Linked DNA regions of Oryzias latipes. The protein of the gene in region 5 purifies or fractionates together with the protein of the main gene of each other region. This does not show direct contact. Links are inferred from orthologs where the notes say so. Each region holds a gene or a part of one and is shown on either strand. Other genes may lie near its edges.

Region 1 (4,294 bases), on a different chromosome or scaffold from region 5:
AATTAAGATGAAAATATATATATATTTGGTGCATAGTTAAGACCTAGTTCTGCTCAAGACCATTTATTTCTCTAAACTTAAGTTGTCAATTAGAAAGATTAGCTTCTGATTTCCCTCAAACTGTTTTCCAAAAAAAAAAACCTTTCCTACTTAGAAGAGGCTGACAGGAAATGAGAAACATGTGAAGCTACGATCAGCACAGACTGACTCTCATGATGAACGCACAGAGAATCATGTGATCAGATTTACAACCAAATAAAAATCACGTGAAGCCTACAAAGCACTAGCGGCTCCGTGAACCAGAAAGGCTGAGCGTCACTGTCAAATTCTATTGGACATTTTTTTAATCTACATTTCAGTTTACATGACAGTTTGGTTAAACACTGTTAACACATAACTAGTGATTTAACCAAATCAAAACACAACTTTCATTAATTCAATGAGAACATTTTACGTAAAAAATTGACAGAAAATGTTTGTTTTTTATATAAAATTGATTAAAATGAGATGTTATCAATCAATGTTAAGTACATGTTCTAAGAGAAGATCAATTGATTATCCTTAAGAAAACACACAGAAAATACACATGTATTGCATTACAGATGTCCTGTTTACTTGAATGTAGATATTATTGTGGCAAAGTAATAAACTGATTTTATCTCTTGGGTTTGACGGTTTTCTGTTAATTTATTTCTTTAGTATCTCACTGGTTGGTTAAAAATATAATATGTTAAATGTCTGTTGTGTCAAACTGCACCAATGTTGTTTTGCTCCGAATAAATACCATTTAAAAATGCTCAACAGATTATCAGACTTTTCAGTAAACCAAAACCTAAAAAATTGGTTCCAACTTAAATGTTTTTTTTTGTTTTTTTTTTAATATTGCAAGGTATGTAACATCTCACAGATATAAGCTTATATTCTAATTCTTCAAAATGCACATTTTTAGTGACAAATGGTAGAAAATGCATTAATTTGCATGAATAAGCAAACTGGATATCTTATAAATATTTTTAAAAAAGAAGAAGAAAAAAGAAAGACAATTTTGTTAGTGATGTAATTTTTCTCCCAAATTACATTTTACAAAGGGTTTCCTAATTTAAGTTGACATTAAACAAAATAGATGATACTGGACGTTTTTATGCTACTATCAAAAGTTGTATCATCCATCTAGGATTTATATGCATCCTGAAATAAAATAAAACACCGGTTGACTTCTTGGGCACCATCTTTTCCTGTAGCTCCGTGACAACAAAGTGTCTCCAGGAATGAATAGTGGTTCCGACACAGAGATGGGAAAAAGAGAACAGAACAGCAGAAGGAGGAAAGGAAGTCAAAAATCCTCATTCCTACCTGAAAACAGTCTGATAAAATGTCTCATGTACATCGGGAGGCAGGTTTTTCTGATTCTGCAGACGGTCCTCGGAGCATTTTCTGCCTCCGCCGCCCTTTTCCTCACCGCGAGACGCCTACGTCATCACTACGTACCCAAACACGTTACGTCCGCGCGCGCCACTGGACGCGACCAAATGAAATAAACAAAAGGAGCAGGAAATGCTCGTTAGTCGGGAAAAAAGTTGTATTGCTTCTATTTGCAGTAGTCAGATCTTTATTGCTGAGGATTACAAATCTACCGTTTTAAATTTTTTACTTAAATAAAAAAATTGTTTGTTGGGTCTTTGCAACTTTAAGCTGCGCGCGCGAGAGTCCAGCTTTAACGCTCTGCTCTTTGTCGCGTTGTTGGGTTGTTTGTTTGTTTGGAAGTTGCTGTCGAAACAAACGCAGCCGTGTGGGTTTCTTTCGTGGAAACTGGGAATCTAAACTTCCTGGATGAGTCCACGCTAACGGCCCGCACCGACCACGCAGCTCTGCTAACCAACGTAGCTGCTAGCTAGCTAGCTAAGTGTTACTTTTCCCCCCCGAATCTCCACTTTTTTGCCCTTTTGAAGATGTTTGGTTCATCGAGATCCGGAGGCATCCGTGGAGGCCAAGACCAGTTCAACTGGGATGAAGTGAAGGTCGATAAACACAGAGAGAATTATCTCGGTAAGTCCATAACGTGCAGTCGATTACGCTATCAGCGCGTGCCACACATCCAGGAAAGATTAGCTCCAGATGCTTTTAAACCCCGTGTGGCCCCCCTAAAATTAGGTTGTTTTCCTACCTTTTGTTATTGAATTCCTCATTACACAAGGCTTGGCTTGATCTAATAGCTTGATATCAATCCCGATTAATCTCCGTAAAGAAAGCAAAAACGTGCTGTCAATGCCTCCTCTGGTCGACACGTTCGTTGTCTCTGTGCCCTCGCCGCTGCCAGCGGGTCAGCATGCCCAGAGAGAGCTACGTAGTGATCACCACAGTAGTCGGGACCGAGAAACATGTAACAAAAGCAAATCGACAAGCTCTCATAGCTGCTTAGATTTCTGAATGTTGTCTGTGTAAAATATGAGCTAAAACCACAACCTTTCAGGTGCAAAGTCAAACAGAAATGAGGCTCAAAACACCCACCCTTAACATGGCAGGAGACTGTTGCCTTATGTGTGGATTGCCTAAATACTTGGAATTAAAAAAACAGTCTAACAACAAGACTGCACTTGTCTATAATGAGATATTCTAAAAGACAAAGTTTACTCAGCTGGAGGAAGTTTAAAACATTGATCTGATATCAATTTTACAGCTTATATTGCACACTTGTATATACTGTTTGTTTGTTTGCTTGTTTGATTTTATTATATTACAATGTTATCTTTACTACTTTTCCCTTCCTTACTGTTCTTGCACTGATGGTGATGCTTAAATCTCATTGTACTATGCACAATGACAATAAAGCCATTCTATTCTATTCTATTCTATTCTAATTTGATTCTTACACTTGAACCTTTATGGGGGAAAATGCAAAAGGATACATCTACTGGAGAAGTCTGGACTGCTAATATTTTCATTTAAATGTGTGTAACCATGATCATCTTTAAAAGTCAAATAGATTTATTGAAATGATTATTTGGTGCAAAACATTAAAACATCTAGATAAAAGAAAAAGTCTAAATATAAAGTATAACAATCCTGCATAATACATTTTGTATTCTGAATTTGTGGCATTTGAAATGTAGAATTTAAAGAAGAACCTTTACCTAAATAGTTTGACCTCTTCTGCGTTTTTTCCAGGAAACTCCTTGATGGCTCCCGTAGGACGATGGCAGAAAGGGAAAGATCTGACCTGGTATGCAAAGGACAAGAAAGGTGGTGCTCCTTTGTCCAAAGAAGAGGAGCTTGCTGCAGTCAGAGCTGCAGAGGAGGAGGCACTGATGGCTGCCCTGTACGTGCGACTTCCCATAAGCCATTTCCTGTACCTTCTTGAAGATTAGGACACAAAAAGTGATGCTTTGCGTTTCTTGTTCTGAACTTAGAGGCCATAAGAATATAAAGAGACAACCAACAGGGCTTACTAAAGAGGTATGGATACGTTGCTGGTCAATATTGGAAAAATTGCTGTCAAGTCCTGTAAGTTGAATTTGATTTTTTTTTTCAGGATCTTGTAGAGGTATGCCGGAGAGAAGAGGTTGATGGTGAAGAGAAGGATGTGGATCGTATCTCAGGTTTAGGAAGCTCAAGGTGAGATTATCTTCTTGTCTGTGTCATAAAACAGATTTTTTTTATGCAAAATGTTTGCTTTAGGAAAATTTCAACTTTTCTTTTTCTTATTATAAATGCAATTTGCTTGAACAAATGTACAGAAGTTATGTTTAATTGTCCAAATGACAAATGGGAGTTTGTTAATAGTTTTTTTTTTTCTAGTTTATACACTAAAATGAGTCAAATGATTTGTTAATCAGGTTGCTGGTGAATAATATTCTTGGATATTTCATGACTTTTCTTTGCAGTTTTAGGTTTGGCAGAATTCAACCTTCTGTTCAGAGGAGATAAGGTGACTGGCTGTCTGTGGTTTGTTTAAGTTGACTCCATCTTTATTTCCCTCTAAAGTGCAGGGTCACGAAAAATGGTGCTGTCCCAAAAGGAAAAGGAGGCGGCTAAAATGGGTCTGCAAATTTTTACAGTAAGTCGTCTTTCTACATCATCCATACTGCCATTTGGAAACATTATTGTATTAAAACAGCATTTTTTAATTGTCAAAAATTAGTAGTAAATATGTGTTTGATTTTTAATTTTTTAACTATTGACTTTATTAGCATTAGTTATTTAGCAATATTGACGAGGGTTGAGTATGGCAAAAAGAATGAGTCGATTCAGGACTATATGATTAAATATGAATCACTTAAACTTACAAATTTGTTTT
Region 2 (4,168 bases), on a different chromosome or scaffold from region 5:
AAAATGGTCAAAATCATTTTAGTTTTCTCACCGCTCCGTGTGCAAATGCTCCGATCACCACAGCAGCCGGTCCCTCGGGCACCAACGTCCTGGGACCCACGGCTTCCCCCGAAGAGAAGGAGGTGGCGATGCGAGGGCAGCCAGGAGGCAAGTGGTCAGACACTGGATTCTTAATGAGCCTCAGAAGCTTTTGAGGACCATCAGCTGCTCTGACACTCAGCTTGTGCAGAAGCTGGACTAAATAAGGTTAAAAAGCAAATTAGAAGAAGAAGATGACATTGTCTACACAAACTACACCATTCCAGCTTTACCCATCAGGCCACAGAAGCGTGTGAACGTTCTTGGGATGCGCGTCTGTGGATTGATCTCTATTAAGGAATTTTTCTCTGTATGGATGTAAACCTGCAGTAGGCCTGCCCTGTTCAATGGACTATCCATCAGCATCAGAAGACACTGTAATGAAGCAATTAAAAAGCACAAATCATGACTGACTCATTATTGAAGACAAACAACAAAACAATAACTCTTACTATTTCAATTCACCACAAAAAGAAAAAACTTTAATCTAATTTTTTTCTTTATATATGTCTGCCATAATAAGAAAATTCTAAAAGACGATGTTAAAAACACAATTTTCATTGCGGTGAGTCTTTGATAGCCAGATATTTAGAGATGTGATGCTTAGAATGAAAAACAATCAACTAAACACAACAGAACCGGAAAAACACATTTCTTATTTTTGATAATGCAACAACACATCTTTCTCTGACTCACTGTGGCTACGATCAATAGAAGAAATACTGACCTGATGTGTGATGTCTGGTCTAACTTGTCCCGGATCCCTCCCACTTTTGACAATAATATTTTTGTGTTGATCGCAGTTTAGCAACTCAAACGTTTTTCCGACCTGTAACACAGGGGGAGACACAAAACGAAATATCGATTGAAGAAGATTTATAAATAATGACCTAATGTGATGAGCAGGGCAGATGCTGCCATGCAACTTCCGAGTCTCTGACGCGTCACCTTCACTGTTTCTAACGAGGCCCCCTCCAAAATGACAACAAGTCTCCTTTCTGCCATTCGGTCGTGAAGGCTTCGCATATACTTCGCAGGTTTGGGTTCATATTCGTCCAAATGCTCCAGACCACGCTTCTTTCCTTCGGAGGTAGCCATGCTGTCTTCTTTCGCTGGAGCCTCCTATTCGAGTCGCATGATTAGTGCGTCACTGAAACTTTAACTTAATTTCGGAACAACTTTCAATGAGAACAGAAAATACGTTGTACTCTCTAGAAATATTTATCATTTTCACCGCTTTGAATATATATATATGTATTTTTTAATTAATTAAGATTTAACTTGCGCGTTCTCAGTGATGTCATTTGTGTGCGACGGATGTACTTCTGCAACGTGCTGAAGAAAATTCACGTGTGCTAAATTCTCTTCACACACCACGTTTAAACTCGGTTTCCCCTGGAATATCTGTTGTGTAAGTATAGTAAAATGTATTTATCTCTTCAGCCAATGCAGTCATATTTGTGTTCGCTAAGGTTTTGGCATTTTTCTCGGCCACTGCGTGCGGTCATGCAAAGAAGTTCTGCTCGTCGGATTCGTGATGGTTCTATCTGTTCCTGGTGGTGAAAAACATTTGTTTGCTACTGCTATAGGGTTATTCTACAACGTGTTGTATGTACGTAAATGAATAACTTTGAACAAACTAGTCAACGGTCACAAATGCACATCTGTTTATATGTCATTGAGTCTTGAAACTGCTCGCATATTATTACCACCCAAATATATTTGCTAACCACGGTAGATAAACGCCAGTCCTTAGAATTGTGTGGGACATATAATATTATGTCACGCTTTTGATTTATTATAAAGATTTTTTTCTTGAGTTTCTACTTTAGCTAAAACTAATTAGATCAATATATTTAAGTTTACATTTCCCCTTTGTGTGAAATATTCATGGCAAACTTAGTCATTATAGGACATTATTAACATTTTATTGTTTGGCACATATCACATTCATTGCAGCAAATGTAGATACAGCAAACTCACTTTTTATGCTTTATAAATAAATTCATAATATATTTTATCAGTAAAACCATCCAAACCTGGAAAACGGCAAAAATAATCTTTCAACTAGTCTCTACTTGGTTATTGTTTTAGTTTCCGTTTTATTTTTACATTTCTATTCTTTTGGCTCCCTTGTTTTTCATACTTATTTTATTTTAATAAAAATAATAATAATTTTGCTTCAAAGTATTGTGTTTGGTCATCAGTAAATCACTGCGTATTATGTCTTTTGTACAGCCCCTACAAGGTTATGCCATGTTATCATCTTCTTTGAGAGTTTTGTATGATATTGTGTCATGATGTATAAAATAAAAATCTAAAACTGATAACAGATTGGCTAAAACCAAGCATCTGTAAGCGTCACTTGTAAATAGCTTAAGATGCTAAAACAAAAGGTGGTTAATATTTTACATTGAAATGTATGTTGTTGTTCTATCTATGCATCCAAAAGACATTCCTCCCCAACAGTTGGTTTTATTTTATATGCATTGGTGCATTTTTCTGTCTGTAATGCTTAGTGTAAGTCAGAGCCATGGGTCGGAAGTTGGATCCCACCAACAAAGTGAAGAGAGGACCTGGTAAGAAAGCCAGGAAGCAGAAGGGGGCAGAGGTTGAACTCGCAAAGTTTATTACTGATGGTAAGGATTTATTTGTTTTCTGTCCGTTATTAGTTTATGAATCAATAGTGGTTTGTAAAAGTGCCTTTTTATATATTAAAATCCAATTGCATAACCTATTTTAATATATGTTTCTTTCTTTGTAGAGGATACTGGACCAAAGCGTTTGTCAAGCAGAGCCAGGAAACGGTACGAGTAGGCTGGCTAAAAGTGTCGACTCCTTATGTGATGTAAATTGATTTTTGTGGATTTTTTTGGTCTGAATTTTCAGAGCTGCAAAGAGAGCAGACAATTCCAAAAATCTCAAGGAAGTTCCAAAAAAACAGCCCAAAAAAGGTACAGTTTAGTGTGATTTTTTTTATTTTTTTATTTATTTATTTGTTGGTTTGTTTTTAACACGTAAAAAGAGGCAGAATGCAGCAGGAGTTTTTCCCCCACAATCTGTGGTATGCAGAAAGAATTACAGTTGTACTTTAAAAAATGAGAAAATGAAATGTATTCTTTTTTGGCACGTATGAATTTGTTAAATATACTTTTTAGCTAACTCAAATAAATCAGGGACGTAGTTGTTTTAGGGGTACTTCAGTGACACTCACAGGGAACTGGAGGAATTATGCTTTTGTCCACCTTTATTTATTATCTAGATGTTTTATTCAATTTTTCATAAATTGTTTCGGATATTAATTTTTCTATTTGTTGGTGTTTAAATGTTGATGCCCAAACTTTTTTATGTCAATTCCTATAAAGGTTTTACAGATGAAAACAGTAAGTGGTTGAAACCTACAAAGAGAAAGCGTAAGGCCGATGAGGCGGGAAGTGAAGACGACAGCGAGGAACTCTGGGAAGAAAGTGATGGTGATGAATATGAGGAGGAGAAAGTTCAGCTTCAGCAGAAGGGAAGCAAAGGCCCTGCAAAAACAGAAATAAAAGAAGTAGAGGGAGACGAGGATGATAAAGATGACAGTGACGAAGACATGGTTGATGACTATGGGGCTCTGGATGATGGGAGTGAAGATGAAGCACAGGAAGAGGACAGCGATGCAGAGGATGTAAGTGATCTTTTCTTGATTACTACATCGTTTAGCTTGTGGGTTTTTTTTAAAGTGACAACTTGCAATTGGGTAAAAGAAAACAAATTGTCTAAATCATTAAATACTCGAAAGTAGAATTAGATATGGACTAAAAGACTTCTGTGATTCAAATGCACATCAAAGAAATAAAACAGGCATCATTCTTACACCACTTCATCATTGAGTTTCAAATGTCAATACCAGCTGACAAAGATGTCTCACAGTTCTCTTACTTTCCAATGTAAGAACTCTGAACTGGGAACTTTCTGGTCTTAAAACACCTTTGAGAACCTTGTGTGGAGGATTTGTCCAGCAGTAGACAGCATTTATTTACCCAAGATTATGGTCTTAGTAAGATGAATAGTTATGTTTCTATCTTACAAAGTTAGAGTACCGGTAACT
Region 3 (3,500 bases), on a different chromosome or scaffold from region 5:
GTATTTCACCCAATCTTGTAGAAATCTAAATCAATAATTAAGTCGATTAAAGTAAATGTGTGACTTGTCATTGATGGCCAATGTTGTTTTGTTTTTTGCAGAGATCGTTCTGACACATCTGTGGTTGGATCTTCTAGACCCGTATGTAAAACAAATCCAAATCAACACACTCTTCTCCTCACCTCTTTCTCTCCCACTCTGTTTGGCTTTATTCACCCTTCTCAAGAACATTCTGTCAACAAAAATCCAATTGTATCTTTTGTTTACTGTGTTTTTTTTGTTTGTTTTACATTTGTGTTGATATCTCAACCTCTGTGTGACTTGATGTTCTTTTTTAAGGAGAGTTTTCTACACTTAACACGGTTCATATCAGAAAAATCTCTGCTTTGTGTCTCATATGACATCAGTAGACTAAAGTTATTGTGGCTTATTGAGAGAAGGTTTGGCAGAACGTCCTTTTTTAAGACAATGGAATACATTTTTGAAATGTTGCTCTATTAAAATATTCTGAAAAAGTAATTTTATATGAATGTTGCAGAATTAAATGATTTTGTAGCCTGCTTTAAGCCAGGCATATGCACTTTAAGGAAGTTGGTCTTTTGTGCTGCTAATTTCTTGTAATTTATTTTCTGTGAAAATTTTAATGATCTGGTTTATTTAAAAAAAAAACCACAATAATGACAGTTTTACTGGGGTTGATTGTAATTAACGTGGATTGCAATTACACAGAAGTTGTGAGTGGAACAGATTTGCCAGTAATTTTTTTTTTTTAATGTCAACAACTGACCCTTCTCAACAATGTTCTAAAATCTGTGGTTTGGTAACACATAATGTTGATTATTCTGTCTTGTACAATTTCTTCGTGAAAGCTGTTTTGTTTTTGTTCTGGTATGGACTGAACATAACACACACACAAAATTTAATCCTGAAGTGCACAAAAGTCATTTAGAATTCAAGTGCCTTTTTCTGTCTTGCAATCAAACCTGCTAGATTAATGTGTACTGTTAAAACTGGATTGAGGAGTCTTAAGGAGCTAGTTATTAAAAGGTACTGTGATTTTGCCTCACATGTAATTTTGTCTTTTAAAAGTATTAAGACCCAATGGTAATCTAAGTACCATGTTGATCTTTAGAGGCCTCCAATGGTTGCTGCAGTGAGACGTATGCTGGTGAAGTGTGTCCTGTAAGCTGCAGAACCTGTCAATAAAGCTGTTGAGTGGTTTTGTCAGAACTGCTTGCACCAGATCCCTTTGTGTTCCCTGCGCAGCCTAAAGCAATAACCACTGTCTCCTGTGCCCTGCAGACTGCGATGGATCCTACTCCTGCTAGCTTGAATATTAGACCTTTGTCACATGCATTTAGATCTGCCTTTTGTAGTATAAAATACATTTTTCTTTGCTTAAAGACCTCTTTTCTCAAACTTTGTGATCAACATAACTTTTGCTCCTCCAAAGTAGGACTGACTGACCGTTTCAGGATTCAGTTGAAAGGATTGCTAACAACTGTTTTGTTTTCTCTTATGCTTTCCTCTAAAGCCGGATGTGTTTCTTTTGTCATACCAGTTTTATATATGTAAATGCAGAATTAGCCTTTTTTAAGAGCTTGCACAGCTTTTTGCCAACCTATCGTAAGTCCAGGAAAGAATCTCAAACTATTAAGTTCATTAGACATTGAGGTTTGATTCTTTGGCCTTGGTAAAGACCCACTCTGATGAAAATTGTATTATTGATGTTTATTTTTCTGAGGATAGAAGACACGCATCAACAACATTAAGCTTGCGTATTTAAAATGTCTTTATTCAAATCGTTGTGAATCAGCAGAAAAAAATATACAACCAGCACGTCACAAACTCCCTGCAGCGCTCCATTCTGATGTATCCATTTGTTGACGACTAGATCTACGTACGATCCGATCCACGTTTTCCTCATCCACGTTTGGAATCTGACTCGAAATTACACGGCTGGATAGCTTCAGTATTGATAGCCATTTTTGTTGCACAGCTAATGTTAGGCTGGGGTCGTGAAGGGCTGTAAGCTAGCGGGAGAGCATGTAAACAGAGTGATTACAGGAAATGAGGGCAGGCTCACACCGTGCCAGAATTTCTGCCCACAACTCGGCAGTGAAAATAAATGTCTGCCGCTCTGCTGAAACATTGCTTTAGAAAACTAGCTTTTTCTAGGACAGGTTTTTTTTATTTTTGGCTTACAGCAGCTTAATTGGAATTAATTCCAGTGGGAACACTTTTTCAATCGATCAAAAAGTAATCAGAGTGGGACTTTAAATTAAGGATTAGATGTGCATATAGTGTACTTCTAGAATTTGCTGATTATACCTATGTAGTTCCATAACCTTGATGCATCTAAAAAGGAGTTTAAGGCCATTTAATGCTAGCAGCTCTATAGACTCCACAGCAGAACTGTATTGTTTTATAAATTTGGCCAGAATAGAAGGATTTATGGATGTCCATGTGAAATGGTTCAAACTTAATTACCTTCTTTGGTTCAAAATACCGGTATAACCATGTACCGTCATCTTTGTAGGCAAAAAAATTAGCTTCTAAGTGACTTTGTTTTTTTTTTTACAATTAGCCTTTTAGAGTGTTTCTTTTCTGTTATGTTAACTAAAGCAGATGCAGTTTGAGCAAACCTGAGTTTTGTTTGAACATCAACAGCTAAACTAGATGAAGATTTAATGTTAAATGCAGATTATATGAGGATCTGTCATTGTTTGAATGGTTGATTGCTGTATTTGATAGAACAGCAAAGGCTGTAATAATGTTGCAAGGACGTGATTGTCTTCGCAATCATGTTGCAAGGACACAGGAAGCGTCTTGAGTTCTAATCTATCATTAGATGCCTAACGGGTAACGTTAACTTTATATGCTCTGATTCTCCTGCAGACGGATTCTTCTCCTTCTTTGTCTCTTGCCCAGCTTGCCAAGGTATTTTGTTTACATGGTCACTTTGGAAGAGAATGTCTATTTTTGAATGCTCCTCCCCTAACCTCCCTTTTAAATAAATAAAAAATCCTTTTTAACAATTTTCTCTGCTGACTTTTAGACCGCTAATCTGGTTGACGCAAATGCGTCAGAGGAGGACAAGATTAAAGCCATGATGACTCAATCGAATCATGATTATGACCCAGCAAAGTCAGTAGTCACACATTTTGTCTTTTCGTGCTAAATCGTCTCACCTTTTTGCCTTTTAAACGTGCGTATAAGGGATCAACATAACCTTTTTGATACATTTCCTTTAGTTACTCAAAGAAGGCAATTGGACCCCCACCTGCTCACTATACTTGCTTTCGTTGTGGAAAGGCGGGTCACTACATTCGTCAATGCCCTTTGCCAGTGGTAATCATGTTTTTGTCTGTTTGATTTTTTTCTTTTTTTCTTTTTAAAGGCACATTTTTGTTTATGTAAAAATATATCTTCTAATAAAAATGTTTCTAGGTGCAAGACAAAAGCGCAGACGGTCCTAAACCTGTAAAAATCAGTAAGGG
Region 4 (3,260 bases), on a different chromosome or scaffold from region 5:
TCAAAGAGGGAAAAAAGGATCCAACTCCTTGTTAGGTTTATTTGAACACAGCTAAAAATGTGTTTTACACTCTTTTCTGTGTCTCGTTACACGGCATGAGCTAATGTGACGACATCCTTTTCCTCAAAACGATGCCATTGACACCATAGACACTGCAATTCATTAAAATGTGATCAGATGAATGCAGGTTTAAGTTAATTTTTTAACATAATACACATTGCTTCTCATCGTTTTCCCTACAATCTGTGTCAAACATTTATCAGTGTAGCTTCTTAGACGTCTTCTACTGCATTGCAGTATGCCTCCACCAGATCAAAGCAGCAGTATAAAGTGTTGTCTGTTGAAACAGGCATTTAAAATTGTTCAGCAAAATATAAAGTTTGAATGAAGGACTGCAGTATAGTTGACTTGCTCCGCCTTCCTAAATCCTGACCAGTGAGTGAAGAGATTTTATTCACATGGTTTTGTTTACTAGCTTTGGTTGGAATCAGGAAAGGCCGCTTGACGGCAGTCTGAATACAGAGCAAACGCAAGGTTGAGTGCTCGATCCGGACCACATGATGCGGACTGGGTCTGGAACAAACTGTTTCCTAGTCTGAATACACTAAGTTGCAACTGAGGCCAAACTGCTAAAAAACGCGACTTGTACTCTGACAAGTACAGTAGTTGTTTATGTGACAGATTTTTTTATATACTGGTTATAAAGACTTTTTTTTTTTTGTTACTCCACTAGCAGGTACTTGCTTGTTCTTAGTTTTTAGTAAAATATAAAAAACACAGATGATTATAAATGTCTATCCCATCTTCTCCAAATACCAGCAAGAGGAGTGGACCAGCCACAACAACAACCTGTTGAAATTCATTCGCACAAAGACCAAGCCTCACATCTTCTACCTTCCTGGAAAAATGTGCTCCGCATCACAGAAACTCCTCGAAGAGTCCACCAAGAAACTAAATGGTCAGTCTGGTCTTTTTTTTTTAAAGAAAGAAGCTTTTTTTTTTTAAATTTACAGAATGAGATTATTTATTTGAAGAAGGCAAATAACGTGACCTTTTTCCTGTTTGGCTTTACCGTTTTCTCCACAGCTGTGTTTGAGGAAAGGCGTGAAGCTTTTGCTGAGCAACTCAACAAGATGGAGTCACGTCCCCGGCGCCAGATAAACCGCGACCAGGACACCAACACTGCCGCAAGGATGGACCATCCGGCGGAGGGTAAGCCAGCAGGTCAGGCAGCCAAGTTGACAGGTAAAAGGAGTGTCGCAGAGATGGAGGAGGAGGAAGATGAGGATGAGGAAGGTCAGAGGGAAGGAGATAGAATTGTGATAGAAGGGGATAATGGGGAGGGAAACAAGGAAATATTAGAAAAAGTAGAAGAGGAGGAAGGGATGGAGTTTAGAGAGGAAGGAAGTGAGAAAAAAGAAGCTGAGGAGGAGAGGAAGAAAGAGGAGAAGCAAGCAAGCCCAAAGTCAGAGGAAATGGAGGTGGAAATAGAAGCAGAGAAGGAAGAGGAGATGAAGGAAGTCAAAACAGATGGCAGACACGGGTTTGTAGACCTACAAGAGAAACCTGTAGAAACCCAGGCTTCTAAACCGAGGGAAAACCGCCAAGAAGCAGCAGATCAGCCCCAACCCAGCCTCGCTGTAGAGGGTCCACCAGAGCAGCCCCCTCTGACAGAGAACGCACATGCAGCCCAAGAAGCCCAGACATCATCCACAGCTGATGTCCAGGACTCTGCCAATGAGAATCGGGCAGAGGAGCTCAAATCAACTGAGGCCCCGCAACCGGTGCCCAATTCCCAAGAGGCCCCTGTCGTCAGCCCTAAAAAAGATGATGGTGATGGTGACAGGGGGAGGAAGAAGGCCAAGTCAAGTAGACGCCGCAGTAAAAGCTCCTCCTCGTCCTCCTCCGGGTCCTCGTCAGACTCCTCTTCAAGTGGAAGTTCCTCCTCTTCTTCTGGATCCAGCCGCTCCTCGTCTTCATCATCTTCGTCCTCTAACAGCAGTCACAGCCGCGGTAGAGATGGTGGCAACCACAAGAGGCGGCCATCAGAGAAAGGTACAGACAAGAAGAGGGAGGAGAGGAAGAGCACCAAGGGAGGAAGGAGTAGTAGAGGAAAGGACTCCAAAGAATCAAAGGAGAAGAAGAGGAGGAACGAAGAAGGCAGAGGCAGGTCTTCACGGAGCGAAGGGGAACATAAAGATAGAGATGGGAAGGACAAGAGACGCTGATGTGATGCGAGGTTCTGATTTTTAGAAAAAAATTAACGGTGAATGGTAAACAGACGTCCAGTGGTCATCAGTCTTCTGTTTTTAAAACTTGTTTATTTTTTTTAAAACCATGGGAGGATTTCTCGTGGTTGGGCTTCTTCCTGTTGGGTCTAAATGTCAAATTATTATTTTTTTTTAATTTCTTTTCCAGCTTTTGAACATTCATGTAATGTGGTTGGACAAAGCATCCGTCAGCTTGTGTCTGAGCCCTTTTCTAAAGATTTTAGAGAAACGTCATAGCATCTTTGCATCCAATATGTTTGAATTGCAGCCCAACATTTGGGAATGAGATGTCTTTTGGGGCTTTGGAAATGTGTTTTACGTGAATGTTGTGGGAAGAGTGACCAATCAAAGGTTGTTAAAATGGTTACGAAATTGTTAATCCACTCTGACACTTTGATCTATTTCAAGTGTGACTTGTTTGTTTTGAATTGATTACGAATTTTTTTTACTTGTAATTTGCTTCAAATTAAAGTTGAGCTGTGAGTGGAAATGTGTTTTCATTCCTGCTAAATTTTTTTTCAGAGGTTTTGCTTATCAAGCAGTTTCCCTAAACTTTATTGTGAAATCAAATGTTTCCTTGAGAGGCTTACACTTTAATGAACATCCAAAACATTCTACACAAATCTTTATTTTGAAAGTCACAACAGTGAAAGGATAAAAAATGAAAAATGCAACGTCTTTTACAAAAATAACTCATGCTTGAAAGAAAACATTTTAGTAAGCGTTCCTTTACCCATAGTTCTTCTCCAACCTTTCTTGGAAAATTGAGTTCATCACCACAAGAGATGCCAGTCCATAAAAACGGCTAAATACTTCAGAGCTTCACTCCTGGTCTGCCAAATCATTTTGTTCAAAGTACCTGTAAAGTAAAAAAAAATCTGTCAATGTCATGTATATAAAGTTGATATGGATTTATTTTTTTCTGTCCCAAATCTTAAGGCTAAATTAAAATGTACACTGCCTTGAAAAACTATTAGCTCTACGTATGTG
Region 5 (3,500 bases):
TGAAACCACAGGTGTTGACACGGCAACACCTGTTGGCTTGATAATTGATAGTACCATCATTCCAGGAGTTTCTCCTTTCACAGACTTGTGCACGAACACACTCTGCGTTGTCACTGGTGTTTCTTACGCTGACGGTGGTCATCGTCTCAGGTTTGGTCACGATTGTTCAGAAGTCAAGACCTTAGACTAATCACATGAACATGGAACTGCCATCCTCTGTTCTGTAGTTACTTAACCTGCATTATTTACAGGTTATGCTTGATTAAAAAACGCTCCTTTTTGTTTTATTTTGCGTTTTTTCTACTGGATGTGCCCAGGTTATGGCAGAAACACTGTGGTTATTGGTACCGTTTTTAGAACAGCTTCTACTACTCAGTAGTTAATAGCATCTTATTTTCTTTTACTCATTTTATTTCATTTTCTATCTGCCTTTCATGTATTTTACCATGCGATGTAGTTTTATGATGTTATTTTTATTGATTTATTTTTCTTCTTAGTTTGTAGCAGTTTGGTTCCGGGATGGCATTGTAAAATGCTGTCGTCATTCTTTTTTTTTTATGTAACAGTTTTGTTTTGTCCCGCCATTGCAAAGACGCCAGCGTTGAACCGAACCGTTTCTTTTTCGAGCCCAATTTACAAGATTTGCACCGCTTTGACATTACACCTTTTGTGATTGTGGGTGGCGATCATGCGCTAGTAAACAGTAGAAAAAAAGACGCGCCAAATAATTAATGTATACGTAGCCTGAGTCGTATACAGTATATGTATGCTTGTTCCATTGCAATGACTTTAAAATGCAAACTGTTACTACTGCTGTTCAGTAATGTGTAACATAGAAATGCATAGTAAGTATCCTTTCCTCATGAAAGGATAGAAGGTTTTTGGCAGATAATTTCTAACGTGTTTTGACATTTAGGTGAACAAGTTGAATGAAAATGAGAAATTAAGTTTTTTTTTTACCTTATGGAGTAGAAACGAAGTCATGGAAGTGCAGCCTGCACCTTGTAAAAGAAAAACACGGCGATGACCAAAATGAGGATGGTCCGTCTTAAAGATTCTTTACATTTGCTGTTTTTTTTTTTTTTTTTTCTGTGATGTTTTTGTTTTTCTTCACAGCCCCCTGGCACCCTACACCTCAGTAACTAGAATATTCACACGGATAAATTCTGAACCTCTTCATTGTGTCGCATTGCAGGGTGAAGAACTTTGTGGCGATGAAGGTGGTGAAGAGCGCCCAGCACTACACAGAGACGGCACTCGATGAGATTAAACTGCTGCGATGTGTGAGAATCAAATCCATTGATTCCATCCCCCCAAACATCACCTTTCCTTTACAGCCTCTCTTTCCGTAGACTTTTCTATGGTGACCTCTTCACCATCTTGTCCTGCAGGTGAGAGAAAGCGACCCCGGAGACCCCAACAAGGACATGGTGGTTCAGCTGATAGACGACTTCAAGATCTCTGGAGTCAACGGCATACGTATCCTAATTAAAAGGATGCCTTTGTGGGAGCCAGCATCAAAGAGATTGGAGTTGGAGTCCTTGACTCATCCTCACAGATGTGTGCATGGTTTTTGAGGTGTTGGGTCATCACCTGCTGAAATGGATTATTAAATCTAACTACCAAGGTCTGCCTCTGCAGTGTGTCAAAAGCATAATCAGACAGGTGAGGATGTTCACACAAAACACACCGACTTTTTCATTAGAGTGTCATAGATTCAGCTAGAGCTTGTCATATTACTCAGACCTTTATCACAAAGATGATGTATAAGATCACATTTACCCATAGGTACACACCGGGCATGTTCAGCCCGTTGTGTTTACACTTGACAAGCAGGGAGGGGCTTCTTCTTTTTGCTTCTGTTAACTAGCACATGTCCACCAGCTACAGTTGGAAGAGGCTTGGTAGGAAAAAGACATATTAAGTTTAAATATGCGTCTTTTGCTGCCATCTTTAATTTAAGTTTAAGTTTTGCCAATTAAGCGGAACTTCAGGTATTTTCTGCACATTAGTGTGTTGGGCAAAGGTAATCACTGTTGAAGATATGTTCTTATGCTTTGCTGTAAACAATAAAGTTGTTTACAGACCCAGTAGGGCAGTGTTTTTCAACCTTTTTTGAGCCACGGCACAGTTTAACCTTGAAAAAAAAATCCCGCGGCAAACTGGCATCGAAAAATAAAAAAAAGGAGAAACTCATAGTCTGTATTGATCTACAGCCCCTCTGCAATCTCACATGCATGTTTGTGATAATTGTGGCAGAGAAACCTGGAAGCTGCAGCTGTTTTTTCTAAAAGATGTAATAAAAGTTAAGTTAAAAGATTTAAAAACTGTTTGATGTGTGTTCGTTGTGGTTTCAAGATGTTTAAGAGGAAAGACTCATTGTGCGCTGAGACGCTGTCACTTTAGCCAAATGTATCATGGGAGATGTAGTGGCAGACAGACTAGCGTCTCTGAGCTTCATTGTTTTGTTCACTTGTTCCACGGTTTGACACCGGATTCTGTGGAAAGCTACACCGCTAAAGATGAGCTTTAGCTGGTATTTTTGTTGAAACTGAGCGACTTTATGAGCAGAATCAGAACAAGGAAGTGAAGACTTTAACCACTTCTGATTGGTCAGACTGATGACATGTGATTAAGCCTTCAAGAATGATTGGTGGAGACAGTTAAAGGGGCGGAACTTTTCCGAAAACAGCTGTAGCTACGGCTAAATCGCGGTACCGTCATTCTTATCAAAGTTTCTTTAATAGAATCAAATAAACACAAAGAAAAAGGTATTTTATGATCTTTTATATTCCTAACTACTCAGTGTTTTATGAGGGGCCTGTTTGGATGAACAAAGAGCTTATTTCCTGGAGATGGAAAATGTTTTTAGATCAGTTAATGAGGGCAATTTCCCATGGCACACTGGTTGAAAAACACTGCACTAGAGAAAGTGAAAGCAGGAAACAGATCATTTCACTTCACTATTTTTTGCTATTTTGAAGATATTATATGGAATGTTCAAGTGTCCTGAAATTTGTCCTGAATTCATCCTGAAATTTGTTCTCCCATTTTTTTTCTGGTGTGATATAAAAAAAGTTATAAAGGATGGTTGTTTTCTGGTTGACCAAAAATAAATTAACTGGACAATCCTCAAAGTAAAATAAAAATACAGTTTTAAATAGGACAGTTGGTTATGTAATTGCCAATAAACCTTTCCTATAAATTAATTTAAGAAAAAAACATCATATATACAAAAAAAAGTTTTGATATAAGTTTGATGAAATCTACATAAAGACAATAAAGATTGCAATTCTTAAAACGTTTTTTTGTTTGTTTTGTTAGTAACGTCCTAAACTGTCATGTCCATAATTGGATATAAACTTTTTATTTATTTATTTATTGTTTTATTCATTATGATTATGGAGTTTGTTTGCCTAAATCAAAATACCCGTGTTGTTTTCCAGGACATAGTATCTGCTGAGCAGCAGTAGTTTATTAGAATTTCCCCTATGAATTGT
Region 6 (4,062 bases), on a different chromosome or scaffold from region 5:
GAAGGATCGCCTGGAGTGACCTCCCTTTCGTGAGGAGTTGCAGGAGTGGGAGGCCTCCGGGGTGCTCTGCCGTCTTCTCTTTCTCTTACGGCTGCTGCTCCTGCTGCTCCTCCTTGCTTTGACCTCCTTTCCAGCCTTGCCTCCTTGCTCTTTGTCTTTGCTCCTGTTCCGATCTCCCTCTTTGCCTTTCCTTCTCTTCTTCCTCTTCGTCTCCTTATCTCCGGTTTTGCGTTCTTTGCTTTTCTGCCGGTCGGGCTCCTTGGCGCTCTTGGAGGCCTTGTGGCTCTTGCTGGGCTGCTCAGCGGGGGGAGTGGCAGGAGAAGGGGGAGGTCTCGGCTGCTGAGGCGAAGGGGGCGATGAGGCGGGAAAGGAGAGATACCGCTCCTTCCTCCTGCTCACCAGCTTCCTCCTCAGATCTTCCACCCCGACCACAGGCTCGTCCTCCCGCTCTTCCTCCCAGTTTCCTTCGGCGCAGACCGACACAAACCCGTCTCCGTCCAGAACCCGGAGGATCCTCTCTGGCTTTGAAGCAAAGAAGGAGATCTTGGGGGAGCCAGGAGGCGGGGCTTCTTCGTTCAGTCTTTTTTTGAGCCCGTCTCTGTCAACGACTCCAACTATTTCTCCTTCCTCGATCTCAGAATTATCAGAGTCAACGGCGCCCGCCGGCCGCCCGGCTCTGAGGGGGCCACGCTCCACCCTCCTCCTCAGAGGGAGCTTGGTGGTCAGCTGGGGGCTCGGCAGGTCCGTCAGTGTGTCTGTAGAATCTGGAGGTTCTTCATCTTTCTCCTCCTCTTCATCGTCATCCCCCTTTGAAATCCATTCTTTGTCGCTCCTGTTGTCCTCATCTGATGCCGGGGAGCCGGTGGGGTCAAAGGGGTCGTACTTCTCTCCTTCTCCCCCCTCCACCTCCCCCCTCCTCTCCTTGTCTCCATCAGTGGGACTGAAGGGATCGTACATCTTCCTCCGACCATCTTCGGCACGGTCTCCACCGGACTGCATGGATGCGCGAGGGAAGTCCAGGGAGGTGGGAGGAGTGGTGAGCGTGGCAGATGTGGAGAACCCCGCCCTCTGATTTTTCACATGGTTTTGATAAGCCCCCACCGACGAAGATGAAGACAGGGGGGAGGACGGGTAAGATGAAGGTGAAAGGGACGAGGAGGGAGAGCGACGAAGAGTCCTGGCGGGCTCCCCAACTCCAGCGGGGGACGAGGGGGAGGCGAGCCTCCTCTTCAAACCAAGAGTTGGAGTCAAGTCCATGAGGGGGGGCACAGAGATCTCCCTGTGGGGCTGGGGGGGCGGCGGTCACACAAGGACAAGCAGGAGCGAATCTAGAGGAAAGAACAACAGAAGGATTAGAGTTCAGACCTGATGATGGGACCATGTGACCAAAGCTGGTTCTCCCTCAAAAGTAAAACTCCACCGCTAGCAAGCGCCGCCACACCCGCCACCGCCTGCGTTTTACCGACCAACAAAGTTTCCTTTGGGACCACGCACCGATAATCTGTGTATGATGTGATAATAACAAATATTCCGTTGTCGTTTACTTCGTGAGCACAGCCACTGTGGTTTCAGTGTGCACCGACAGAGCATCTGTGATTGGTCGATACACCAGCGAGGCTGCAAGCCTCCTTCACGCCATCCTCAGCCTCATGCTACGTTCACACCGGGCCTGTGCTGCGCGTTTGGGACGCACTAAGCTATCTTGGGCGTGCTTTTAGCCCATGCTGTTCACACTGGACAGCCGCTAGCGGATCCTAGTGCACGCACCTGGTGTGAACGGTCAAAGCGGTGCAAACCTGGTGAATCTGGCTCCAGGCCTTTTATTTTACAGACTTGGTGTCGTAGAAGCCAGGGACAAACCGCTAAAATAAGATTTCCCTTTCATGATCAGTGCGTCAGTGAATAATAAAGAATGCTACCCATTCATCAGCACCAAAGTTGAGTCTCTGACTGGACACTTGATGGTGCGTTTCTGGGACTAGAGACGTGACTCCATCCACATCTACAGATGGTCATGGATGTTTCTAGAGATGGATGGAGTCACATCTCTAGTCCTGGTTCTAGAAGTGTGACTCCATCCATTCATCCATCCATCCATCTAAGATTAGGAGCTTTACTTTGGTTCCAGCATCTGTTTCCAGGGCAACCAGGGTGCCGTCCTTGCACGTGCCTGCAGTCTCCTGCGGACTCAAACGTTCTGCAGCCCCGTTCTTGGATCGCACCGGGTTTTTTCGGAACCACCATGCGTGTTCTAGTCATTCCCGAGTCCGGACTGGTTCCCCGCACGCTTCGTGGGTGTCTTCATAAGGCGGCTGGCCTGTTCTGGGGGGGGCTGTGGCTTCCCTGCACCCCCGCTGCCTGATGTCAGCCGGACTGTTGACCGTGACGCCGGACGCTCCCCGACGCTGCCTCGTCTGTCCGCTTCCAGGCTGGAAGACGCACGTCGCTGTGCGCGTGTACGTACGGTGTGTGTGTGTGGGGGGGGGGGGGGGAGTCAGCAATAAAATGCGCGTGCCGCATTTCACGCACTTCACTGCTCAGCAGTAGACAGTCGGCTAATATAGCCGCCGTGCTTAGGAGGCAGACAGACAGACAAGCGCGTTCACGACTCACCGTCCGCGCTCCCGTTTCCCCTCCGAGGCCGCAGCATCCGCCCCGGGATCACCGACAAGCCGTCTAAGACACCGACTCGCTTCTCCAAGCCCCGCGCGGTCCGCTTTAGTCGTTTTTTAGAAACGCAGCGGCAGCCTTGTTCCACTTAGCGCCGCCATCTTCCCTCTGGTGAAACCGGATCGCTAAGGACGATGGGAAATTGAGTTTGTTATGTCATTCTTCCCTGTGTGGCTCTGAAAGATTGATATGGAGGGAAAAAATAAAATAAAATTTAAAAAAGACTGATATGGTGGGTACTTTTTACGTAATACTTTCTGAGTTCAAAGCCTACAAACAAACACGAAGCAAAAACGGAATTCACAATAAAAACGTTGTTTAAAAAACCTCAAAATATTTCAGTCTTTAAAGTTGATAATGTCTACATGTACTCATATATAAATTCTTCTGAATTATGGTGCTGACATTTGGACCTCAAGTCTTAAATAAAAAACAGATTCCATTCTTTTTAACCGCTATTAAAAACCCACTCCAATGAAATTTAGAAGTGTTTTTTTTTACAGCATTTTTCTAACGATGGAGGACATTAATAAAGAAAATTAAGATTTAAACCTCATTTCTGAGTATTTCTTTATTCAAATGGTGGTAAATCAGACGCAAATGGAAAAAATGCTGTTAGGAAAAGCTTGTAGTTTACCGTTTGTAAAGCTGCTGTCAAATATTAATAGCTAAAATATTGGTAATTTAGTCTGTTTTTGGAGAAAAACAGGTTTAATTTTTCAAATGCACATTTTCACTTTTTAATTCATGTATTTATAAATGTTACACTTACTTAATATGTAGTCAGCAAGCTAAATATTTAATTTAAAGTTAAATGTTTTTTTTAAATAATTACCGGTACATGTTAAGTTTACAGAATAAAAATTTTAGTTTGTTAATTAACTATTTAATTTAATAAAATAAATCATTTGCAAATGAAATATTAAGATCTAGCCTTAAAATTAATTTTCTAAACTAAATATTTAATATTTTTAACTAAATCTTCATTTGTCGTAATCCTGCTGGCAGCCGACTGTGCTTTGATGAAGAGGAGCATCACTGAAGCAGCTGTTCTTTCTACACCTGTGGAACAGACCCAACACCTGAACAGCAGGGAAGAACTTCAACCGGCAACCTCCGTCTCTGCCTGCTCATATGTTGAAGTGTCCTTGAGCAAAACCAACGCGTACGACACCGTTAGAAAACCAGAAGACGGGGGTGCAGCTGACAGCTGGACTGAGAATCTGAGCTGTGGGTGTTTGTGTTTCAGAGGGTCGGGTGTCATGCGGGGTGGAGCTGATGGAGGCGACCAGAGCTCACCTGAGTTTAGGCTGCAGCACGAGAAGGATGAAGGGTGGTGGGTAAATGTGAAGGTCAAAAGGTCAAGGAGATGTGTAAAAGACTGTGAGATAT
Region 7 (3,500 bases), on a different chromosome or scaffold from region 5:
TACAGCTAATAAAAATGTGGTAGACTTATCAAAACAAGTGTGGTGGTTAGCGTTCTAACCTCACAGCAAGAGGTCCTCCGGTTCTAGTCCCAGATCTTTCTGCGTGCAGTTTGCATGTTCTCCCTGTGCAGGCGTGGGTTTTCTCCTGGCACTCCGGCTTCCTCCCATCATCCAAAAACATGCTTCATCTGTGAATTGGTTACTCTAAATTGTCCCTAGGTGTGAATGTGAGAGTGCATGGGTGTGTGATTGTGGCCCAGACAGACTGGTGACCTGTCCAGGGTGTCCCCTCCCTTCACCCAACAGTGGCCGGTTAGGCTCTGGCAGCCCCGTGACCCCATAAGGGAGAAAACGAGTGCAGATGGATGGAAGAATTAAAAATCGAACGTATGACCGCACACAATCAATATAGGTAATTAAAACATTCTGTACTATATTAGATAATTCTAGACCTGCAGACTTGAATTGTTTAACATTATGTCTTAGCAATGTACAGATAATTAAATTGCATTTTTGTAAAAACTGAGCTTAAATCTATTTGTCTTTGTTTATTTTAACCTGCTCTGTTTGCCTGAAAGTAGTGTTTTAAATAGGACCTAAACTTAATAATTAGTACCAGATAATCAAGTGTACTTTAGGATGCTAGAGGAAGATCTAAAAAACCTTCAATCTTCAGAAAAACTTCCAAATTTTAGTTGTTTATTTAAAAAAATGTAAATTTGATTTTTTTAATAGTATAGTTTCTCATAAATATTCCTTTATAAATTGATTGTAATTTTGATGATCATGGTTTACAGTCGGGGAAATGAGTGTGTCAGAAAGTTACAGAATTGCATCAGAACAATTAAGGCTTAAAATGTTTTGGTGTAGATGCTTTAACCTCACGCCTATGTTGTCAGGAAAAATTTTCCTTGTATGAAAATACAAGAGGCATAATCAATTTGCTGTGTAACTAAAATGATAATTAAATAAATCATATATATACAACAGATGAATTGGTATTAAGAATACAATGTTTTCTAATAGTAAAGGAATTACGTCATAAAAGTTTTAAAGTTTGTTCTTGTTTGGAGTCGTTTTTGCTGTTGGAGGAAAAACAATTCTTGAAGTGAGCAACTTTTATGCCTTTGGAGCAAATCCTTGTGGTAATTTCCTGCTGAGAGCAGAGAGTACAGCCAGTGATTTTATCAGTTGTGTCATTCACTTTTCGAGCAGCACGTTTATGAGCAGCGCAGCAGCCAGGCTTCTCACTAAGACCGGCTTCTTCAGAAGCCTCAGAAAGAACTACTGTCCTTACTTTTTTTTCTTTTTTGTTTTACAGCAGCTGTTGTGTTTCGTGTTCATGTAAGAAAATCTGTTGTGTCATCCCAGAACAGTGAAGACTACTGCCCATTTTAATCATAAAAACATTTTTTTTTTTAAAGTAGCGGGTTCACAGACTTCTCCTGTTAAGCATGGGAGAGAGTGGATTATGATAGGGGCTGGGAGTAGTAAATCAGCCATAATTTTTTTTTGTTTCCACAGAAAGACTTGAGAATATTCGTCCTCCTTTGGCTGCTTTGGAGAACAATCCCCGACACGTTCATTTGCTCTGTGTTTGCATGTTTTGGGGCCTCTTTGATAAGGGGAAGTTCAGCGAGTTGAGGTCAAGATGCTCGCTCTGCCTTTTCAGAACATTCCATCTCTTTGCAGCAGAAACGTTTTTTTGGGATACTTCCTCTGCATTTTCTTTTTTTTTTTTTCCCCTCTTAAATCCGTCCATCTGTGTTTACTTTTGTTGTGCCATCCCCTCCGTTTCTGAAACATTGGACTAAATTTGTTCAAAATGGCTTCTTTATACATATCATGATTCATTCTGCTGCTTCTGGCAGCAGGCAAATGATCAATAAACACTGGTTCCTTTGGCTCCTTTCACATGCCTCTGCCTTAACTCTGCTTTCTAAACATTTGAAAAATGATGTGAAGTGCTTCAGATAATGAGCCTTCCTTTCCTTCTTTGTACCCTTCTCATCCCTTTATTCTCTTGATTTAAAAAATTACACATTCCAGAATTTAATCTGGCTTTTATAAATGTTCTGTAGGAAAGTGTTTTCCGTCTTTTCTGCTCCTTAGCAGCTCTGTACTCATATTTATATTACCCATTGCATTTGCATCATCATACATGCATAAACACTGTTTTTTCATGATCAGAATAACCACAACAAATACTCACATTATGTTCCAAAACAAAATAAAAATTGCGTAATTTGTGTACAGTCACAATATTGGGGGGGGGGGGTGTAATTAGGAAACTTTCTGGCTATATTCTGATTGTTTGAAAAGATGCACAAAAGTATTTTCTGTTTATAAAGGAAGCACATCTGTGAAAACAAAAGAAAAAGAAACTTCTCCATTTCTTTTCTTTTTTTTTACCTCTCGCAGCTCCACACAGACAAGAAACAGATAAGCGTGGGTTTCATCGGATATCCAAATGTGGGAAAGAGCTCTGTGATCAACACTCTGCGCTCCAAGAAAGTCTGCAACGTGGCGCCGATCGCCGGAGAAACAAAGGTAAAGTCGACGTCATCTTTGATCAGTCAAAAAAGAACATGACAATCTAGTGTTTTTTAACATGAGATGCTGTGTATCTCTGCACATTTACTTTCCTGTTGAGAGAGACATCTTACTAGTACCAAAGGCTAAGGGTAATATTTCAGACATTGTGCTTTCTCTGGTACAAGCACCACATTTGACATGGCCCTCTTTCAGAAGAGCCCATTTGCCATGAGAAAAATTCCAAATTGTTACAAAAATATTCGATTTTTCTTTTTCCCGGTCTCAACAATGTCGGCTGTTGATGCACAAACTGCAGTCTTTAAACTTGAGGGGTACCTAGACCAAAAAGACCATCACTTCAGGTTGCAGTAAAGACTAAGTGGACCTGACGGGTCAGTCTGCAGGTTTTCCACTGATACAGAAAAGCAGCCTTCAGCTATTTCTGCAATGTTGTTGCTTCCCTAAAACAATTTTCACGCTTAGAGTCAACCGAAACATCTTAGATCTCCATTTCAAATTCCATTTATGAAAGAAGTTAAAGCTAATGTGCTTATGTCTATCTATTGTAAAGTCAGTTCTTTCCTGCTTAAAGCCCCACTCTGATGAAAATTGTGTTTTTAAAACATGTTCTTGTGACATTTTTTTAATGATGGAGGACATATATAGAGAAAATTAAGCTTACATTTGTATTTCTTAGTATTTCTTTATCCAAATCATTGTGAATCAGGAACAGAGGAAAAAGGCCATTGGGAAAAAGAGCTAATTTGCTTTGTGGTAAATAAGTTGGGCGGGCCACAAGCTCACTGCTCCAAGCTCGCAGCTAATGGCGAGGGAAGTGGCGGGCTTGCTCCGCCCCAATGGTCCCCCTCACTACTCAAAAGCAAATTTCTAATGAACTACTGCTGCTCTGCAAAGACATGTCCAATAAACAAAAGCACTTTTTTGATTTTGGCACAAATGACAAT

Evidence for each region.
Region 1: the proteins of SRSF protein kinase 2 (region 5) and c17h1orf35 purify together in Homo sapiens (affinity purification with mass spectrometry; 3 studies listed by BioGRID and IntAct, with this or other methods). This does not show direct contact. The link is inferred for Oryzias latipes from reciprocal best matches to the Homo sapiens genes SRPK2 and C1orf35.
Region 2: the proteins of SRSF protein kinase 2 (region 5) and nop2 purify together in Homo sapiens (affinity purification with mass spectrometry; 3 studies listed by BioGRID and IntAct, with this or other methods). This does not show direct contact. The link is inferred for Oryzias latipes from reciprocal best matches to the Homo sapiens genes SRPK2 and NOP2.
Region 3: the proteins of SRSF protein kinase 2 (region 5) and E3 ubiquitin-protein ligase RBBP6 purify together in Homo sapiens (affinity purification with mass spectrometry; 4 studies listed by BioGRID and IntAct, with this or other methods). This does not show direct contact. The link is inferred for Oryzias latipes from reciprocal best matches to the Homo sapiens genes SRPK2 and RBBP6.
Region 4: the proteins of SRSF protein kinase 2 (region 5) and pnn purify together in Homo sapiens (affinity purification with mass spectrometry; 3 studies listed by BioGRID and IntAct, with this or other methods). This does not show direct contact. The link is inferred for Oryzias latipes from reciprocal best matches to the Homo sapiens genes SRPK2 and PNN.
Region 6: the proteins of SRSF protein kinase 2 (region 5) and scaf1 purify together in Homo sapiens (affinity purification with mass spectrometry; 3 studies listed by BioGRID and IntAct, with this or other methods). This does not show direct contact. The link is inferred for Oryzias latipes from reciprocal best matches to the Homo sapiens genes SRPK2 and SCAF1.
Region 7: the proteins of SRSF protein kinase 2 (region 5) and gnl2 purify together in Homo sapiens (affinity purification with mass spectrometry; 3 studies listed by BioGRID and IntAct, with this or other methods). This does not show direct contact. The link is inferred for Oryzias latipes from reciprocal best matches to the Homo sapiens genes SRPK2 and GNL2.

The regions. Positions count from the first base shown.
Region 1 is NC_019875.2:27,890,373-27,894,666, forward strand, and holds the start of c17h1orf35 (multiple myeloma tumor-associated protein 2), read left to right. Parts: upstream 1-1,494; 5' UTR 1,495-1,949; coding exon 1,950-2,046; intron 2,047-2,164; coding exon of another isoform or gene 2,165-2,186; exon of another isoform or gene 2,187-2,486; intron 2,487-3,131; exon of another isoform or gene 3,132-3,165; coding exon 3,166-3,316; intron 3,317-3,407; coding exon 3,408-3,453; intron 3,454-3,529; coding exon 3,530-3,612; intron 3,613-3,981; coding exon 3,982-4,054; intron 4,055-4,294. Other genes in the region: guanylate kinase, read right to left, coding at 1,354-1,387.
Region 2 is NC_019874.2:20,209,456-20,213,623, forward strand, and holds the start of nop2 (probable 28S rRNA (cytosine(4447)-C(5))-methyltransferase), read left to right. Parts: upstream 1-1,368; 5' UTR 1,369-1,489; intron 1,490-2,597; 5' UTR 2,598-2,611; coding exon 2,612-2,717; intron 2,718-2,842; coding exon 2,843-2,885; intron 2,886-2,967; coding exon 2,968-3,032; intron 3,033-3,443; coding exon 3,444-3,745; intron 3,746-4,168. Other genes in the region: emg1 (ribosomal RNA small subunit methyltransferase NEP1), read right to left, coding at 32-237, 312-453, 806-907, 1,027-1,176. UniProt on the Homo sapiens protein: S-adenosyl-L-methionine-dependent methyltransferase that specifically methylates the C(5) position of cytosine 4447 in 28S rRNA. Required for efficient rRNA processing and 60S ribosomal subunit biogenesis.
Region 3 is NC_019859.2:21,164,417-21,167,916, reverse strand, and holds part of E3 ubiquitin-protein ligase RBBP6, read left to right. Parts: intron 1-101; coding exon 102-141; intron 142-2,898; coding exon 2,899-2,940; intron 2,941-3,058; coding exon 3,059-3,147; intron 3,148-3,254; coding exon 3,255-3,351; intron 3,352-3,450; coding exon 3,451-3,500. UniProt on the Homo sapiens protein: E3 ubiquitin-protein ligase which promotes ubiquitination of YBX1, leading to its degradation by the proteasome.
Region 4 is NC_019880.2:19,637,658-19,640,917, forward strand, and holds the end of pnn (pinin), read left to right. Parts: intron 1-819; coding exon 820-958; intron 959-1,086; coding exon 1,087-2,228; 3' UTR 2,229-2,760; downstream 2,761-3,260. Other genes in the region: gemin2 (gem-associated protein 2), read right to left, coding at 3,093-3,129. UniProt on the Homo sapiens protein: Transcriptional activator binding to the E-box 1 core sequence of the E-cadherin promoter gene; the core-binding sequence is 5'CAGGTG-3'. Capable of reversing CTBP1-mediated transcription repression.
Region 5 is NC_019864.2:11,784,748-11,788,247, reverse strand, and holds part of SRSF protein kinase 2, read left to right. Parts: intron 1-1,195; coding exon 1,196-1,283; intron 1,284-1,391; coding exon 1,392-1,479; intron 1,480-1,558; coding exon 1,559-1,665; intron 1,666-3,500. UniProt on the Homo sapiens protein: Serine/arginine-rich protein-specific kinase which specifically phosphorylates its substrates at serine residues located in regions rich in arginine/serine dipeptides, known as RS domains and is involved in the phosphorylation of SR splicing factors and the regulation of splicing.
Region 6 is NC_019866.2:24,765,844-24,769,905, reverse strand, and holds the start of scaf1 (splicing factor, arginine/serine-rich 19), read right to left. Parts: upstream 2,801-4,062; 5' UTR 2,614-2,800; intron 1,329-2,613; 5' UTR 1,258-1,328; coding exon 1-1,257.
Region 7 is NC_019874.2:23,612,859-23,616,358, reverse strand, and holds part of gnl2 (nucleolar GTP-binding protein 2), read left to right. Parts: intron 1-2,421; coding exon 2,422-2,550; intron 2,551-3,500. UniProt on the Homo sapiens protein: GTPase that associates with pre-60S ribosomal subunits in the nucleolus and is required for their nuclear export and maturation.